Linked DNA regions of Daphnia pulex. The main gene of each other region encodes a partner of the protein of the gene in region 2 in a complex. Links are inferred from orthologs where the notes say so. Each region holds a gene or a part of one and is shown on either strand. Other genes may lie near its edges. The genes, in order: integrator complex subunit 9-like, integrator complex subunit 1-like and integrator complex subunit 12-like.

The links.
Region 1: integrator complex subunit 1-like (region 2) and integrator complex subunit 9-like share a complex: the UniProt entries of both Homo sapiens proteins name them as parts of the integrator complex. The link is inferred for Daphnia pulex from reciprocal best matches to the Homo sapiens genes INTS1 and INTS9.
Region 3: integrator complex subunit 1-like (region 2) and integrator complex subunit 12-like share a complex: the UniProt entries of both Homo sapiens proteins name them as parts of the integrator complex. The link is inferred for Daphnia pulex from reciprocal best matches to the Homo sapiens genes INTS1 and INTS12.

What each region holds. Positions count from the first base shown.
Region 1 is NC_060027.1:3,457,533-3,461,286, forward strand, and holds the start of integrator complex subunit 9-like, read right to left. Parts: upstream 2,346-3,754; 5' UTR 2,208-2,345; coding exon 2,199-2,207; intron 2,130-2,198; coding exon 1,935-2,129; intron 1,871-1,934; coding exon 1,668-1,870; intron 1,608-1,667; coding exon 1,406-1,607; exon of another isoform or gene 1,344-1,405; coding exon 1,210-1,343; exon of another isoform or gene 1,143-1,209; coding exon 1,030-1,142; intron 966-1,029; exon of another isoform or gene 957-965; coding exon 776-956; intron 708-775; coding exon 268-707; intron 192-267; coding exon 1-191. UniProt on the Homo sapiens protein: Component of the integrator complex, a multiprotein complex that terminates RNA polymerase II (Pol II) transcription in the promoter-proximal region of genes.
Region 2 is NC_060019.1:12,571,957-12,575,710, forward strand, and holds the start of integrator complex subunit 1-like, read right to left. Parts: upstream 2,593-3,754; 5' UTR 2,523-2,592; coding exon 2,345-2,522; intron 2,107-2,344; coding exon 1,910-2,106; intron 1,837-1,909; coding exon 1,198-1,836; intron 1,138-1,197; coding exon 1,055-1,137; intron 998-1,054; coding exon 763-997; intron 690-762; coding exon 448-689; intron 387-447; coding exon 260-386; intron 192-259; coding exon 1-191. Other genes in the region: histone H2A deubiquitinase MYSM1-like, read left to right, coding at 2,750-2,802, 2,858-2,957, 3,017-3,223, 3,289-3,635, 3,704-3,754. UniProt on the Homo sapiens protein: Component of the integrator complex, a multiprotein complex that terminates RNA polymerase II (Pol II) transcription in the promoter-proximal region of genes.
Region 3 is NC_060026.1:13,198,587-13,201,776, reverse strand, and holds integrator complex subunit 12-like, read left to right. Parts: upstream 1-1,173; 5' UTR 1,174-1,295; coding exon 1,296-1,466; intron 1,467-1,520; coding exon 1,521-1,624; intron 1,625-1,682; coding exon 1,683-1,805; intron 1,806-1,863; coding exon 1,864-1,980; intron 1,981-2,044; coding exon 2,045-2,525; 3' UTR 2,526-2,603; coding exon of another isoform or gene 2,604-2,652; 3' UTR 2,653-2,686; downstream 2,687-3,190. Other genes in the region: adapter molecule Crk-like, read right to left, coding at 458-489; eukaryotic translation initiation factor 2D-like, read right to left, coding at 2,604-2,652, 2,730-2,861, 2,937-3,190. UniProt on the Homo sapiens protein: Component of the integrator complex, a multiprotein complex that terminates RNA polymerase II (Pol II) transcription in the promoter-proximal region of genes.

The DNA.
Region 1 (3,754 bases), on a different chromosome or scaffold from region 2:
TTTCAGAGTAAATTTATTGTCACGAGCATCCAATTTTCCAGTCAGAGTAGAAGCTGAAAGGCCCGTTTTAAATTGGATGGGTTCGAGACGAGAGGCCAGGGCCGGATCAAGATGCACTTTTTCCTGCTTCCTCTTAATTGGTAACTGTAACACCTGGTAGGACTTCATACCCAATGCTGGTGGATCCAATTCTAAAAAAAAAGAAAGAATAAGGTTAACTGACTGGCCAACTAGATCCAGTTCAACAGGAATCGATCGAAGACTTACCCTGAATAACCAAGTCTGATCTTAAGGGAGCCGACACTGGCGGGTGGAGGTAAACGTCTGGAACGAGTAAGTTTCCTGGCTTGAGATCGCGTATCAGTTTATTGGCTTGAGTGAAGCTCAAACTCGTGTCAATGGGACAGTGAACGATTTTCATGGTCAGTGGTTGATAGGGGGCCAGCGCTTCCAGGTAAGGGAAATCGGGTTCAACGAAGACGATACTGTGGTTGCTATGACTGCCCCATAACTCTATGAAGTGAACTACATTGCCAAAACGAAGGGAAGGATGACCGCAAAATACGACACATGGCTGTCTGTACTCGTTGGTGAATCCTTCGGCATGCAGGCTTGGGAAGTGTTTCAGTCGACCATTTTTGATGAGATGGGCGTGAGGAAATGGTTCTTCTGGGAGATAAACTTTGCTCTGCTTGCCTGAAGATAACCTATATGAAATGAGGATGATAAGTTGACTAAACATTTTCGGAAAAATAATAAATGTGACAAGCCGAACCATTCAGCGAAGATGTTGGAATAAGCCAAGGAAGTTTCGGCCACGGGAGAGAAGAAAAACAGCGGAATCTGACTAAGACCAATATTGTCTAAATGAACTGAGAGACATTCGAACAGATCGTAAAGAAGGCCGGAAGGGTGACATGGGACTAGGCAAGATCCGCCCGATCGTAACGTGGATGCTGCAAAAGGTTTAAGGAAACATTGTTAGTTTTTTTCTAATGTAATTTAATAGAATTTTACTATTTGAATTACCAACTGCCATGCAGAATTCGCCCAACATTGAATCTGGATTGGCCACGGGGGTCTGAGTCAACGCTGTCAAGATCAAGAGATCGGCATTTCTAAGGGCAACTTGATCCATCGGCCTGTATATGGAAAAAATGGTATAAAATTAATTTGTTAAAAAAGTAACACTAATTAAGCTTATAGAACCTTGGGTGGGTCGTGAGAGTAGATGAAGCGCTCACGTACGCAATCTTCTCATAGCCGGAATGAATGATCCAATTGCAACTACCAAGGGAATATCCAGAACTGACGGCCATCACAGTTAAAGCACCACAGATATCCTAAAAGTTGTCGGTTAATATTGTTTCATAAGAATTTTTTAAAAATCCGAAAAAGGACGTACAATTTTTTCGTTGAAGCCAACCATGCGAACTTTTGCCAGGGCTGCATTGATGGCTTTTGTGGAATAGACTTTCTTCCAATCATTTGGTCTCAGAGCCCCACTGAGAGGAGGAGGAAGAGACTGGAGTACTTGCTTCCATCTGTTTGCTCGCTGATTTTTGGGAGTCCTTTCCAAGTAGTTGACCAGTTCTTCCATGTAGAGCCTACGACAAAGAATACAATATAGTCTCAATATTGTGTGACAACAATTGCAGGTTGCATACCTTCCAATCTGCAAGGTGGGTTCAGTTGCATATACCCTCCCTTTAAAGCCAGTTTCTTCAGTGATGAATGGCAGGGCCAGCATGCAGGCATGATTCGATAGCAAGATGGTATCCACATCAGAGATGTCAAAAATGTCTGACTGAGGGGGCAGTATCTCTATTGGGCCATCCACCAACACTCGATTTTCACATTCTTTCAGTTCCTATACAGGATAAATGAACATTTGAAATGACACGAAGATAGAGAAGAGATCAAATCTAACTCACTCCATCAAGAAGTGCAGCATCCTGTGTGTCTCTCGGGATCCAGTTTGGTAAATTTGAGAGCCTTTTGCTGGCAACGAGAGGCAGAGGTAGAAAATGAAGGGCCGAGTTGATATCCAGCCCACAATCGAGCATCAGCGAAACGCCTTTGAAATTCAAGATGTTGCAGGGTTTATTTGGGTTGGCGCCCAGACTGTACTATGTAAACAGAAACTGTGTTTATCAGACCGCTCCATTTCGGTGAAAGGAAAATATTAAAATGCTTACGATTTTCATGTTGTGGGCGCGTTTTATCTGAAAAGTGACAAGAAAGAATTTTTATTTCAAACTCGGTATATGACAGACAGATCCAGACTTGTTTGTTTGTCCGGTTCGTACTTACTACACGAGCTGCTAGCAGACTAACATTTGAAAACCCAATGCAGCGTTGTCATTTTTCAACTTGAAAAGATAGGTTCATTTTATTTTATTATTTTATTTTTTTAAATAAGAGCGCCGGAACGCGAAAGAAATAAATCTAGAATAAAAATTGAAATCTGAATCACATATTCGCTTTTGAGAATGTGTATTGAATAACGCCATCGGATACGCAACAAACAAGCGAAACAAAAGAAGCTACAAAGTTACACACATTTTGTCAATGATTAAGAACGAAAGAATATTATATCACTCTATACAGTTTTGTTGGTTGTCAAAAAAAAAAAATTCGTCCATTTCGTCGATTGTGTTGCAAGACACGCCCTTATCAGTTCTCCGTCCAGTAGGGTGTTCAACTAAATCTTGGTGCAACCAAGAAAAAGGAACTTTCCAAAAAATCTAACCGGACTGGTGAATGATAAGGCCAAGTCATTGAACCATTTTCTCCACAGCGAGAGATGATACGTGATGCTCCTTCAGCTTCCGGTGTCGAAATGCCTCCTATATATATTTGATGCCCCTGCAACAACAGAAGAAAAAAAACACACACACAATAAAAAGAATCCAATAAGCAAGACCCAAGCAAGAAAATGAAGAAAACAACATGGTCGATGATCGGCTTGGCCTCTGTGTTTGGTCGGGAGTCTGCTGTGTGTCTGTGTGAGAAGAGAGAAATAAGAGCAGACACGGTTACTAAGGGGGAGAGAAAGGGAAATGAAATACGATGGGGGGGAACACAACACACACATCACAAATGGGTGTCGGAGACGACCAACGACTATACCCAAAGAGGGGAGAGCATTTTTCCTCTGTATATATATATATATACGTGAGCAAAAAGGAGAGAGTGAACGGTCTTTTACAAAATGGGAAACATCTGCCCGGCTGCTGGCCCTTTTCCCATATCAAAAAGGAAAGAAAAGAATGAAAAAGAGAAGCTTTTGTGTGTGTGTTTGATATATACCATGGGGTAGGTGGTAGTAGTAGTACAGTAGTGTAGTTGGGAAATCAAAAGAGCTCAGGGGCCTCCCCCCTTATTCACCAGAAATGAAAAAAGAGAAAAAAATGTCGATACTCTGCTGGGTCGGTTGAGTGATCTATCGAGAGAAGAAGAAAAATGTGTGTTCCAACACACGATAGCTGCTGCTGCTAAAGGCTCTTACAAGAAATTGAAGCCGGAGCAATGTGAGATGTGTCTCTCAACACTCGAAGAGAGAAAGAAGAGGAAGCAGCAGCAGCTTGCTTACGACGTGTTTGTTGTGTGTGACCTCGTCTGACCGTTTTAACCATCAACGGATAGAAGGGAGGGGAGAGAGAGAGTTCAAAGTCTTTTTTTTTCTATTCAAAATATATATAATTTTTCTTCCCCCCCCCCTCTCGCTGTGTGTTAAGAATTTATTTTACAG
Region 2 (3,754 bases):
GGGATGGACGTTCTTAACCAGCTGATCGATTCTCTTTGGACGGCCGATGCTTGGACGTGAAACTGTCGGAAAAGTTCCATCTCTCTCAAATCTCCACGGGCGACCAAAGATGCTGATTCACGCACACCTGGACTTATGGCAAGGAAAATGCATAAAGTCGTCAAGTCTGCCAATGAATTCAAAAGCCGATCCTGGTATCAAAAGTCATTATATTATTTCGTATTGCTACTAACATGGTTTTTTTTAAATACTACCGAACCTTGAATTCGAATTCTCTGATTGCAACTTTGCGTCTCTCTTGCATACAACCGTGTAAAAGAGCTGCACAAAATGTCGGTAAAGGTAAGTCGTGGCGGAGAGCGCGAACCACTTCACGTAATAGTGCTCTAAAAACATATAACATTAATTATACCCAGTCCACGTCTGTGAATTGCAAATGCAAAATACCTGAGTGCCCGAAGGTAATCGTCACGATTGAGTAGAAGTTCCATAAAAACGTCCGCTAAAATTGTGGCAGCACGATCAGGCCACGGTTGGACCAAAACAGCCAGTACTGCCATGTTATTCGGTCCTCGAGAAGGGGAGAGCTCATTGAATATTAACAACCGCACAATGAGTGGAAGCTGGTCCACCTGCTGCTCGACCAATTCTTTAAAACAAGTTAGATATGTCTGGAGCAGCGGTTTACTCTGAAAATCAAAAGAAGAAAGTATTACTATTTTTGTTCTGAAATTAAAACAAAAACATTGACGTTATTACTACCTTTAATCTCAAACGTAGAAGAGCATTTAGAACATCTGTGTCTGTAGGAGCTTCGGTACTGCAATTGACGCAGATCGAGAGGAGGAGGTCGGTGGCTGGTCTCACAAGTTTTTGATTGGAAAGCCACATTTCCAATCGCTGGGCAGCTTGAGTTCTTACAGCGGGCAAACCAGCTGTTGATGTCAAAAACTTTAAGAAGTTCCTTGTAGTGAGGTCAGATGCCGGTTGCTGCCGTCTGAGAAACCATTGATTATATTACCCTAACCTTAATGCAACTCAAATATTTTAATACCTGCTTAAATGTTGATTTACTATTTCCATGACAAGTGCTTCTGCCATGTCTTTGAGATGTTGAAATCGAGGAATAACTCGAACCTAAGAAAAAGGTAACAATGAAAATACAACTATGTGCATAATTTAAATCCCACTTGTTACCTGTTGCTGATCGAGATGAGTTGAACCTCGAAGCAGCCCACCCTGACTGTTATCTGAATCCACGCTGGCATCATCTTCAAGACCAGTGGTGCCAAGAGAAGTTATACTAGGAGAACTAGCAGCACCAGAAGATCCAAGTCCAGTGCCAGTAGCACTTTCTTGTTGAAGGATGTTCCTTGAAGGGACTTTGGTGTTGAATGCCGTTAGGATATTCTCGACAAACCCTTGACATTCTTCGCGATCTACCCAAACTCGTTCTCCAACGGAATCTTCGACAAAAACTTTCAAGAAAGATTCTGGCCATTCCGTTGAATCTTCTAGACCGGCTAACAACAAATTGCAAGCCAGTGAAGCTGCAGAAGCAGTTGTCCTTCCTTTAAAAGGACCAATACTGGCGGTAACGTCTCGTTTGAGTAATACCAATAAAGCTTCAACAATCAATTCGGTGTTGAAATATTGCGATCTCCATTTAGCTAAGTAGACAAGGGCTAGTGCAAGAATGGGTTCCACTTTATTCCGTTGACTCAGACTAAAGGCTTTCAGTTGCTTAACTGATCCACATAGGATTGCTTCAATTCTTTCTTCATCATCATTACTTTCAGCCTCTCCAATAGCATTCAACAACTCTGATGCTTCAATCTTGAATAAATTTTTATAAAGAAACATTATTTAAAGATAAATTGATAAAATCCAGAAGATTGAGTAACTCTACCTCTATAGCAGCTTCTTCCCATGGCTCTAGTCTGTTACCAGTCGAACCTGGACTGGGAGGATCAGCAGCCTTCAAAGCAGGTCTTCCCAATGCAGTAAAGGATGCAGTATTTGGGAGCCCAGGCTTTGCTTTCTTAGCTGGATTTTGAGATGAACCTGGCAGCTGGCTTGGTGCTTCCCGCTTTTTATCTGAAGGACCTACACAGTCATGAAACATATCATTCTTTAAGGCTAATGTACAGACTGAAAGAATAAATAATAATAGTAGCTGAACCGAGTTAAAAGAGATTGTTAAACAGGAATGTGGATAAGTTTAAAATTTTATAATCCATGTTCAAACTTAATTTATAAAAGGATATGATAAGCAAGTTATTGGTCAGGGTCAGGACCAGGGAAAGAAAGAATGGAAATAGAAATATTTTTGTTCTCATTTTACCCAAAGAAGGAAGTGGAGCAGGAGTGGGTTTTGATGGACCACCTGAAGAAGATCCTGATTTCTTTGCATCAACTGGTTCTGCTCGACTTTGCTTTGGTCCAAGAGCAATAAAATCACCAGAGAATCCAAGGGGTTTTGACTTGGAGTTTTTAGGCGGCAAATTCTTGCCCCGATCCATTATAACTACCGTCCAGCATTAACACCTCTTCGAAACTGATTTTGTTTTTGGTTGAGCCGAGTCTGCGAGTGTCTTCTGCAAGAAAGCGTGGTTGCATTTCTGTTTGTAAAGCGAATCGCATACGACATTTTCCTCCCCCCCCCCTCAACACGTCGTCTGCAGCAAATTGGCATATAATTAGTGATAGAGGCATCAAGCTTGTTGTGAAAACACATTCGTTAAGAAAAATGGAAGACGACGATGAAGTTGATGTTCTAGGGGATTTCTGTCTAAATCTTGAGTATGTACAAGCTTTTGTTTGCATGTTATTTGTACTAACTGACATTTGATCACAGGACGGATTTGAACCAATACGATGCCGGGGAGTTTCCTACACAGAATTCGGAATTATTGGGCGATTATATGCAACATCCTTGGCTTCTTGAAAGTTCACAAGTAAATTTTTATTCAAAGTGGTTTATATTTGGGTACAGCAAGATCTAACTTTCTCACAGGTTTGGAATATGCCAATGATGGATCATGCCAATGAAGATAAGAACAAAACACTTAATTGGGAGAATATGCTCCATGAAGAGAAAAAACACTTTTCAAACAGTTTACCCATGGCAAACCCTCCATCAACCACAACATCTGCTGTAGTTGCTTCAAAAGTGAGTCCTATGTGGACTAAAGATGATGTTGCATCTCTTCGTAAAGGAATTGTAAGTGTCGGAGTGGTTACTGATTATGGCAGGACTGTGTAACTTACTTGATACTTTTATTAAAGGGTCTACACAATCAAAATTGGAGCAAGGTTGCTAGAGCAGTTGGAACCAAGACTACTCTTCAAGTGAAAAGTTACATTAAATCACATCCAGAACTTATTACAAGTTCCTCAGTTCACATTTCCAATACCCCATCACCTCCTCAGTTCATCAATGAAGTGGAAGTTACAAACGAAGAACCAACCTTTCACTTTTCTATGGGTGACATTGTTTATGAAGCAGAAGTCCCTGCTGTATCCACAGAAGAAGTAATTGCTAGTGTGGCACCTACCAAGTGGGACTTGACTCCGACAAAAAATAGCAAAAAGACGAACCGTTCAAAACCAAAATCTCCTACAAAAGAAATAAGGTATGACAAATATTTAAACAATAACTGCCATTGATTCAATATAGATATTTTTAAAATTCTTTCTTTAGGCGGGTAAAAAATCCACTCTTAGTTAAGAAAGCGCCTGGAAGACCTAGGAA
Region 3 (3,190 bases), on a different chromosome or scaffold from region 2:
CATACAACATCTAAATATTTATCACGACGCCCACCCCTCGGAAAATCCATGGCCTATCTTAGATGACTCTCCGGATATACGGGAGAGAGGGGACCGACCAGCAGGATGTAGAGAAAAAGGCAGTAGAGGAGTTAATCTTCATGATCATCATCTGTCAGGAATCAGTCATTTAATTGAGAGAGAGAATAAGGACATTGGCAATATGAGAGACTTTCTAAATCGAGGATGCAGGATGCATCACTGATTCTCTCATTTCTAAACAATCTTCCTTTTTTTTCTTTACCGTCTGGCTGGGGGGTTTTACTTGAAACCTAAATTTAGAAGCTAGAAGTTATCTGGTGGTTGCAGCCAACACAAACAAACAGCAATTTCCTGAGAAATTCACACCAACTTCTGGCTGATGAAGGAATGAAACAAATGACCTGTTAGAGATTAAAAAGGAATTTAAATGATTTACCTGTTCCTGTCGGCTGGCTCAAATGTAGACATGGCAGCAAGCGAAATGGGGTGGAAGCTTGCACAATCCAAGAATTTGTTCGTCAATTAGAAAATCCCCTCACACCCTTTTGTGAGGTGACTAAATGTCTTTTATCTCGACTTGAAAACAATCGACAACCGTGTCCAACAGGCCTCACATCCTCACTGAACCTCATACAGCACATATAACATCACTTTGATATGTAATCATCACAGGAGACGTGATATAACTAGTAACCTTTCGATCGTTCAAACGGATTCTATAATCACCAAATCAACTACACATCTCCTTTTCGTTGTGAGGTAATCACAGAGAGAAGAACAACGGCTATCTTGATCCTAAAAATTTGTGTTAAAAAATAACTCGTCGAAAGCTAAAACCAAACCAGCAACAGCGAGTCCGTCTGTGCAGAAGCAGAATATGAATGTCTTTCTGGCTAGACTCACAAATCTATCTAAGCCGTCGTTAGCAAACTACCGCTAGGTGTCATCGCTGAGTCTTATCGCTATTTATAGAATTCTTGATAAAACTCCGAATTTCTTTCTTTTTTAAAAATAAGACATCACATTGCGCGCTAATTAAATTTGGTGTCAAAATTTGCATACTTTTTGTTCATTAATAAAAAGAAAGTGTTGAAAATAAAATTGCACAATTTATTGAATCTGCCACCAGAGGGCCATTTCCTTCTTCACATTTATTTTGAAGTTGATGTTGATTCGGACAGAAGTGCTGTCGTGAATGGTTTGCTTTGAAAATAGCTCCAAGAACTCATTACAAATATTTACTATTATTAATATTTTAAATTCTAAGTTTGATAATGGATGGTCTTATTGAACCATATTTAATTAAAGCTATCAGTCTTTTGCATTCTAGTGCTAAAGATTCTGGTGACCAATTGAAATCTATGTTGGATGAAGCCATAAGATTAAAGAATGAAACCAACTCTTCTGTCAGCAAGTTGCCACCACCTTTGACGATGATCAAAAGGGTAATATATTTTTACTTTTTTTATGCTGTTGTGATTAAATCTCTTGCATTACAGGAAACAAAGAAGAAAAGTGACTTCTTCATTGATGAAGATGTTCCTCTCAGTAAAAGAAGGAAGGAATCTCCTCGATCTTCACAACCTTCATCTCCATCTTCTAGGTATGTATCCACAGTTTTGGATAAACTTTATACTAGTTAACTAAGTCTTGTATTACAGTGTTCTTGAGAAAAACAAGGAATCTAAGCGAAAACATGATAACATGTTCAATGATGATGAAGTTGTTCCAAAGAAATTCAAAGATTCCCCTCGTTCTTCACAGCCTGGCTCACCAGCTGGGAGGTGTTTTCCATTTGATTTCTTATTTATTAATTTTATTTTTAAAATTATATTTTCCTAGTTCACCACGAAATTCGAGATCTCCAAGTGTGGCTCGAAAAAGCGACGACCTCGATTCTTTGAATGACGCCGATGACTTGGCTCAGGAAATTATGGATCTTCACTGTGTTATTTGCACGTAAGTCTTATTGTTTGTTATAGTGATAAAAATATTCAAACTTTTTCCTCTCTCTACGTAACAGTGGCCTGGATGTTACTTCTGGAAATCAGCTCGTAGAGTGCCAAGAATGTCACGGCCTTTATCACCAGGAATGCCACCAACCGAATATTAGCGACGCCGAAGTTAACGATCCTCGATCCGTCTTTTTCTGTTCCGATTGTAGCAAGTCAATGAAAAAGACCGCTAGTCGACCTAAATCAAGTAGCAGTAGGGAAAGTCCCATCACTTTCTATAAAAGTCGATCTGACTCTCCGAGTTCCGTGAGTGGCAAAAGCTCAGCCGGCCTGGTAGTTAACTTCAGCAAACAGCAAACCTTGCCCCAGAAGCCAAATGGCGGCAGCGGTGCTTCAAGTAAGTCAACAAGCTCATCGAGCAGCAGTAGCAATTCTTCATCTGGAAATACTATTGGCAACACATCCCTCATTAACGCCGATAAACGACTGCAGAACATTAAGAAACGGGCTGCCACAAAATTGCAAGAAAAACGGAAACCTGGAAAATAGTCGGTTGTATATTAAACAGGCACCATCTTTCCGTGTTGTTTATTTCGGATTCCATTCTCTTATACAATTTCGCAAAAATTATTTTTTATTTTTGGCTTTTTTTAAGTCGAATCCTTGGATAAATTGCCTGTTAGAAAAAAGATAAAATTTTGTAAAGTTAATATTTATTTCTATTATTTTATTATTTAGTTTTAAAAAAATTACTTGGGAATTCCGTATTCATCGATGAGCAAATTTCCGACAAAACTAATTTGGTTACCCTGTACCAACACCAATTGACCCTTTTTAGCTGGAGAGCTGGTTATTGTTGTGCTAGCCGCCACGCCTACTTGGCACCTATTCAAACAGACAAGAGAAATTCGCTTACTTTTAAGAGACCCCTTCACCTAAAGAATGTGAGACCATTGGTACCTTCGAGCAAATTCGTCCAAGTCGATCCTGTACGTCTCAAGGCCACTGATGAGGGTGACCTTCTTGTTGCCAGCTCTCGATGCCGTGGTAATCTCGACTGGCTCCAACTCTCCTTTCACGATGACGGGAGCCGACTGGTTTGGGAAGATCATTTCATAAACTGTTGAAAGTTTAGCTTGACAGCGGCTCATTAGCTCTTCCCAGCTAAGCGAAGCTGCTACTTCGCCTTTTTTTAACATGACGTCACTCAAAAT